Danio rerio: one gene and its partner. The protein of the gene in region 2 purifies or fractionates together with the protein of the main gene of each other region. This does not show direct contact. Links are inferred from orthologs where the notes say so. Each region holds a gene or a part of one and is shown on either strand. Other genes may lie near its edges.

Region 1 (4,269 bases), on a different chromosome or scaffold from region 2:
AAGAAGTGACTGTAAATAAATATAGTGGTGTTTTTCCCAATAAGAGTTTTGAAAATTAACAGAAACCAATGAATTTGTTAAATTTGAAGCAAAGAATAATTCAGTAAAGAATACAGCTGACAGTGATGAATATTAAATGGCGCAAGAGTAACAAAACTATTTGCTGCATAGTAAATAACATTCAGTTTAAGAAGAAGAGTTTTTGAAGCTCATCTGTAAATTACATCCCCATAATCCAGAATTGGTAATACTGTTAATTTGAGCTGCTTTGAGGAATGTGTAAAGGAGGATTTGTTTCTGTAAAGAAAAACCAATCCAGGCTTTAACCTTTTACATGCTTTCTGTCAGCTTTTTTTAATTGAATAAATTAGTATTTTTGGAGATTTGGTGTTGCCGCCTTTTATTAATATTTAATTTGCACCTTTTGCGTTTTTTTGGCTGAGCACCCAGTTAAGAGGGATGTGCGTGCTTTTGTACAATTTTTTAAAAAGTAGAAGTACTGACTACACTTTTGTAATCAAGTAAAAGTAAAAAAGTAGCGCCTCAAAAATTTACAAAAGCAAAAAAGTAAAAAGTACCCGTTTCAACCACAGTCCAATGACATGCGGTATAGGTGAATAATAGGTAACTAAACTGGCAGTAATGTATAAGTTTCTCAGTGCTGGGTTGCCGCTGGAAGGGTATCCACTGTGTAAAACATATGCTGGAATAATTGGTGGTTCATTCCGCTGTGGCGACCCTGTATAATTCAGCAACTAAGTTTAAGGATAGTAAGTACCATAAAAAGCAATTAGTCCTCACATCCTATCGATACATTAATAAACTAACTTACATTTCTAATTCTTATGTAAAATTTTTGTTGGCAATTTTATGAAAGCAGCATCACACCCTGTAATAGGGTATGTGCCGAGCTGGTGTTTTTATTATACTGATAAACTTAAGGTGACCTGTTATTGTAATTTTTTTTTTCCCAACGTATATGGTTCCTTTTACAGCATTGATGATGTAATGTAATTAAAATACATTCAGTTAAATAAACTTTGGCATTCTTTTAGTTGATCAAGCTTAAAACGAGACAAAAAGCCGTTTACTCGTACGTGCCCATCAGAATCGGCCGGCATGTACAGTTGACCGGAAGCGTTTAACTCAGGTTACTGGCAAATTCAAAGTCCTATTAGCATGCTTCGGCATATACCCTATACTTTGCAACAACATTGCTCTAAAAGTCTGCTCATGTATGATCATCCTGACTCAAATTCACAGCGTTCATCATGTACTTTTGTGGCTGTTAGATCAAAAACAACAGCTGCTATTTATGTTCATACACTCTAAAATAATTCTGTAGGTCTGTATATCTTTATAAATAATTACATTTTACACAGTATTCTGTCCTATATATATATATATATATATATATATATATATATATATATATATATATATATATATATATACACAAGGCTCATCATATTTGACTGCAAACAATTTTTTTCCATTAGGCTAAAGCTGCTTTATTCTCTTTAAAAAGTAGTTCTCATACATAACCTGTTAATTCAGTGTTTTTATAAAGTAAATAAAGGAAACAAATGCATAAGTTTTTTTTTAATAAAGTGTTTGATTGTTTAAGTACTAAATGTACAAATCTTTACAAAAAAATCACAATATTTCCCTGTATTACAATAAAAGACCAGAGAAATCCTGTGCAATATGATCGGAAGGTGACAAAAGGGTTAAGCATTTTTAAACAGATATCTGTGTAAAAAAATGTAAGAAGTAAAAGTAAAAAGTTGTCAGAAAAAACATGTAGTGGAGTAAAGTACTGATATCAGAAAAATCTACTTAAGTACAGTAACGAATGTATTTGTACTTTGTTACTTCCCATCTCCGGAAGTAAGCGTCTATTCACACCACTAATTCATAAAAAAGGAAAGGTTTTGTAATATTTTTAAATAGCATAACGAGGCTTTTTGACTTCTTTTTAACTTTTCACTTCCAAAATGATTGGTTAACACTGACTTCCAAAGTTTCCCTCTGCTATAAGTCAATAACGACCACATTATTATTATTTTCAAATTAACTTAATTTGTGTTTAACAGAAAAAGGGAACTTATGCAGGTTTAGAAAAAAAGAGAGGTTGAATAAATGATTCTTATATATTCATTAACAAAAATCTAACAAACATTAACAAAATTCTACAACTCAAATTACATAAAGGGATTTCAAAATACCACACAAGTGTGGCTTAAGACAAATGAGACGAAAGTATCCATCCTAAAAACATCAGTAAAAATGATAAAAGACATAATAACACAGCTCTCTTTTATAATTTACCTGAAGGTAACCTCAGGCACAGTGCATTTGACTCCATTGTGGAAGGGGTTTCTGAGAGAGATGGTCTGACTGGTCTGATCCACTGAAGAAATCTCCCCTTGGTAGACTCCTAGAGTTGGTCCACAATGGATTGAAACAAGATTGCCAACCCAGTCTAATGCCATTTTGACCAGCTGAAATGAGATTCAAAGACGCTTTGTTAGTTGTCATGATGGTTTTAAATATACAGGTAACTCTTGAAGCGTTATTGGGCGTCTGAAGCATGAATACGAAGAATGTTTTGGAAGAATAAGTATTGAACGTTAGAAAGGAATATGCTAACGTTAGCCAGCTACATGTACAGCACGCAACGGGCTTATAAGCTAATTTTTCGGTTTTATAAAAATTGTAAAGTGAGTTTCTCACCTGTTTTCAAGGGCAAAACCTTTCAATTATACGGATAAGTTGTGTACTGTGATAGATTTGGATAAACTCTTCTAAAGAGCTCGACTACGCGATCGGCTTCTTCTATGAAAGTTGACTGAGTGAGGATCAGATTTGAATCTGTATTTACTGCCGCTTACTGGGCAACCGCCGAACTACATTGAGTTGCTAAAGAAGGCAGATATTTATTTTTTTGAAACTGTTAAATGATTATTATTCATTCATTTTTGTTTCTTTTCTTGGTCCCCTTATTAATCTGGGGTCGCCACAGCGGAATAAACCACCTACTTATTCAGCATATGCTTCATGCAGCGAATGCCCTTCCAGCTGCAACCCAACACTGGATTATTTTTAACAATTTATAACTTGCAGTTATTTCTCTCAGAATATTTTTACATTCTAAAATAACACATTTATATATTATTATGGTTGTGTTCATTAAGAAATTTAAATCCCCGTGAAATTAAAACTTATCAAATGATTTTATCAGCTCACATTGCTAGTTTTGCGGTGAACAATTCATCTGTGCATGTCATTAAGAAAAAAAAATCGTAATTTGTCATTTTTATCCCGTTTCTCTAGGAACTACGTCACATTACAAAAAAAAGCTTAAATCGTAGCTTCTGGTTCATGGGGACTACATTTTTTTAAACTGATTTTTAAAAAAGGTTGTCACTCACTCACTTTCCTTGTTTCTTTATTTGCCACAGCGGAATGAACCACCAATTACTCTGGCATATGTTTTACTCTTGCTGCCGCAACCCAGCCCTGAGAGTGTAACTCATGCAGTGCCCTGAGAATGTTACTTTAAAAAAACTAATTTAAATTTGAATAAATACTAAAAATAGAATTAAAATAGCAAGATACGCTTGAGATTTAGTTTTTTGATTTTTGTTAAAATTGTTTTGCATAAAATGTAATTTCTACTCTACTAGATGTCAACGGGTGTATTGAGATCATAATGCTGAAAATCTGTGTATACACAAATACAAAAATGTCAAATAATCTTGTTTAAGAATTAATTTTCTTTTCGACCTAGTCCCCTCATCAATCCGGGGTCGCCACAGCGGAATGAACCGCCAACTTATCCAGCACGTTTTTACACAGCGGATGCCCTTTCAGCCGCAACCCATCTCTGGGAAACATCCACACACACTCATTCACACACACTCATACACTATGGACAATTTAGCCTACCGAATTCACCTGTACCGCACGTCTTTGGATTGTGGTGGAAACCGGAGCACCCGGAGGAAACCCACGCGAACGCAGGGGGAACATGCAAACTCCACACAGAAACGGCAACTGACCCAGCCGAGGCTCGAATCAGCGACTTTCTTGCTGTGAGGCGTCAGCACTACCTACTGCACCTCTGCATCGCTGAATCTTGTTTAAGAATTTATAACGTCCAAAATATCAAATAACAATAATTAACCTAAATCTATATGAATTTATCTATATAATATTTTAAAACACACACACAAAGACACACACATATAATTCACTCTGAAATAA
Region 2 (3,829 bases):
TTGCAGTAGAGGCAGATGAGATGACATCCGGTGAGCGAGCTCTTGTTGGAGACGCCTGTGGGACAACCATGGGATCTATTGCCTGGAGATCCAGAGAGAGAGGAGGGTTTGGAGGGGAAACCTGCGGAGGAGGAGATGGGAAATAAGGGAGGGGGAGTCGGTGAGAATAAGGAGCAGCTTCGCAGAGCAGAGAGGCTTCTTGAAGGAGGGATGAAGAAAGAACCAGTGGGGGAGCGAAAGCCTAACCAGATTGGGATTTTAAATGGAAAAGTGGAGATAGAGGGATGCCAGATAAACAGAAGAATTGGTAAATGATTTGGAATCAAATTTGAAGGATTGACAGTTTATATTGTGAGTGAGGAAGTCTGATCAGCTTCTCTGACTATTCCATAAAAAAACCAGATCAAATTTACAACATTCATTAAATGTCACATATATTCAGCGATTATATATGTATATTATTATTAATTTAATTACAACAACAAAAAGACATCATCAGCAATAAATAATACATAAGCTAAAAATCTAAAACAGTTTAGGTTTACTTTTGGTAAAAAAAGTTAGCCTTTCTGAAGGATTCACATTTAAAAATATTTCTTTAAAATCTTTACAGATAAAAATTGTAAAAAATAGGGCATAATAAAAATGTGTTTAACAGTTAGGTTTCTGTTGCTCCTTTTAGTAAATGTTCAGTAAATATAATATTATTATTCAATGGTACACTTGGACAACACTTGCTTATGAAATAACAAAGCTCTTATTTAAAAGTAAAAACATTACTAAACATGCCACTTTTTTGTAACAACAATAAACTCTATTATCACTAACTGAATTAAAGGGATAATTCAAGCAATCTTTTGTATTTAAGTTTACTCAGCCTCTACTGGCACTAAATGCAGATTAAGATTTTTTTTCCTGTGAAACACAACAAAAAATATTTTAAAGAAAGCTGGAAATCAAACCCAAAGGTTTTGGTAAATGGTGAGCCACCTTTTCCTTTTGAGTGAACTATAAATCGAATGCATCCTTGATTAATAACGACATACATTTCAAAAACCATACCCAAACTTTTATAAAGTACTGTGTTGGTACTACAGGGAGTGTGTAAAGTAGTGGTTCTTAACCCTGTTCCTGGAGATCTACCTTTCTGCAGAGTTTAGCTCAGGGGTGTCCAAACTTTTTGGGCCGAGGGCCAGATGCAAAAAAACAAACGTTGTCGCGGGCCAAATTTTACATACATCACACAGACACGCATATATATATATATATATATATATATATATATATATATATATATATATATATATATATATATATATATATATATATATATATATATATATATATATATATATATATATACAGTTGAAGTCAGAATTGTTAGCCCCCCTAAATTATTAGCCCCCATTTATTTTGTCCCCAATTTCTGTTTAACGGAGAGATTTTTTTCCACACATTTCTAAACATATTAGTTTTAGTAACTCATTTCTAATAACTGATTTATTTTATCTTTGCCATGATGACAGTAAATAATATTTGACTAGATATTTTTAAGACACTTTTATACAGCTTAAAGTGACATTTAAAGGCTTAACTAGGTTAATAAAGTTAACTAGTCAAGTTAAGGTATTAGGCAAGTTATTTTATAACAATGGTTTGTTCTGAAGACTTAAGGGGCTAATAATTTTGACCTTAAAATGGTTCATAAAAAATTTAAACCGCTTTTTATTCTAGTCGAAATAAAACAAAAGTCTTTCTCCAAAAGAAAAAATATTATCAGACATACTGTAAAAATGTCCTTGCTCTGTTAAACATCATTTGGGAAATATTTAAAAAAGAAGAAATAAATCAAAGAGGGGCTAATAATTCAGACTTCAACTGTGTGTAGATAGACAGACAGACAGACAGACAGATAGATAGATAGATAGATAGATCATAACAAGAACTACTGCTTAATTGAATGCATGTAATAGCGACACCCGGTGGTTATTTATTGAATTACGTTCATTTTTGTATAGCGGGCCAGATTCTATTATTATTTATAAAAAGCCTCGCGGGCCACCACAAAACTGATTGCGGGCCGCAGATGGCCCGCGGGCCGTAGTTTGGACACGCCTGGTTTAGCTGCAACCCTGATTAAATGCACCTCTCTTTATTTACCAAATGCTCCTTTAAATCCTACTTAGTTAACTTAGTTGTGTGACCAGGCTTGAAGCGGAACTCTGCAGAAAAGTAGATCTCACCACCTGGTGTAAAGCAACATCTTTCTTACACTGAAACAAAGATAAGACCTACTGAGGCACGCTATATTGCAACATTGAGAATGACATTTCCATTGGTACCTGGATGTTTTCCCCAAGGCCTGAGATGAGGATGGAGTTGGATCTTGGACTGCCTGCATTGGCGAAACTGCTGTTGACACATTCAACAGACATTTTAGGGCTCTGAGTCAGATCATCTCCACCTCTAAAAGAAAAAAAAATATTGCATTTTGATTGCAGGAGATGACAAACGGTATGACATTTTTTGCACATTGTGAAGTTAATATGAGATTTAAAAGGTTTAATCAAGTTTTACTATGAAAACATTTAGTTAAATACACCACCTTGCACCGCTGTCTGAGCTGCTCATGGCCGTGACAATGGTCAGACTGCTAGCACTGCTGCCAGGAGAAGCGGGCATCTGAAAAAACAAGAACCATGATGAATGTATTCATCACTGAAGGAACCTAAAGGATGACGCTAAGATAGTAAAAGCTTACAGAGGCGCTGGGTGTCATGAAGGCATCCGGGGTCATGAGTTTGGGCAAGGCTGATGGGGCTGGACTCATGAAGTCAGCGGGACTTGGAAGAGGCAGAATCTTACTCAGGTCATTTTGTGAACCACTATCGCCAGACTCCTTGTCAGAGCTCATTGCCTCCACATTCAGATCAGCCAGCGGGTCAGAAAAACCTGGAAAATTTAAAAACAAAACAAACATTAAAAATACATACATAACCAATAACATGAAAATACTCCTAAATACTTTTTTTGCGGTATTAAAATGTGCAATATATTAAAGTTTAACATTAAAAGTATTTATTAATTAAATTATTTAAGTGTGAAAAAAAAATTCAAAAATTCAAACCACAACCGCAGGTAAAAATATTTTTCGTCATATCCCTTTAGATTCTGCATTGGCAATCTAGGGAACATAAATATAAACATATAAAACTTCATACTCACTGAACCCATCCTGTGATCCAGACTGAGGCATGAAGAGTGAAGAGGAGTCCCCCTGATTGGGCTGAAACCAGATCTGCACATCCTGTAGTGATCTGTGTCATAAGAAGGTTATAACAACATATTAAACGCTACACATTTAAAATTCAAACTTCATGTCAGTAGAGTTGTTGTTAGATAAGAAATTCTCACTTTGTATGCACACAGTAGAGTTTAATCTGAATTCCTGATCTGGACTCAGAGGTTCCCTGGTTTCCTTCTGTGAGAAGATATTAAACCACACAAGAATCATTTGAATGACTCACTTGAACATGAAGCTAACATGAAAACAAAGAGAAAAACCGACCTGCTGTCATGCTTTCGCTTTCTTCTTCAGGAGGAAGGACCTCAGTATGGCGCAGGCGAGCACGAGAAACATCCTGAACACCGAAGCTGAGCACAGGGTGTGTGAGCAGAAACTCTGAGACTGCAGTGAAACTGGCACGGCCTTTCTCTTGATCCTGCAGCAGCTCCATGACATACAATACCTTCATATCAAACACAAACACACACACCTGAATCAACTGCTGAGAAACCACCAGTGCTTACTTTAAAAACAACCTTGGCC

Evidence for each region.
Region 1: the proteins of edc4 (region 2) and edc3 purify together in Homo sapiens (affinity purification with mass spectrometry; 6 studies listed by BioGRID and IntAct, with this or other methods). This does not show direct contact. The link is inferred for Danio rerio from reciprocal best matches to the Homo sapiens genes EDC4 and EDC3.

The regions. Positions count from the first base shown.
Region 1 is NC_133200.1:21,946,993-21,951,261, forward strand, and holds the start of edc3 (enhancer of mRNA-decapping protein 3), read right to left. Parts: upstream 2,848-4,269; 5' UTR 2,737-2,847; intron 2,505-2,736; 5' UTR 2,496-2,504; coding exon 2,332-2,495; intron 1-2,331. UniProt on the Homo sapiens protein: Binds single-stranded RNA. Involved in the process of mRNA degradation and in the positive regulation of mRNA decapping. May play a role in spermiogenesis and oogenesis.
Region 2 is NC_133193.1:23,287,238-23,291,066, forward strand, and holds part of edc4 (enhancer of mRNA-decapping protein 4), read right to left. Parts: intron 3,750-3,829; coding exon 3,569-3,749; intron 3,482-3,568; coding exon 3,415-3,481; intron 3,318-3,414; coding exon 3,226-3,317; intron 2,953-3,225; coding exon 2,762-2,952; intron 2,683-2,761; coding exon 2,606-2,682; intron 2,467-2,605; coding exon 2,343-2,466; intron 242-2,342; coding exon 1-241. UniProt on the Homo sapiens protein: In the process of mRNA degradation, seems to play a role in mRNA decapping. Component of a complex containing DCP2 and DCP1A which functions in decapping of ARE-containing mRNAs. Promotes complex formation between DCP1A and DCP2.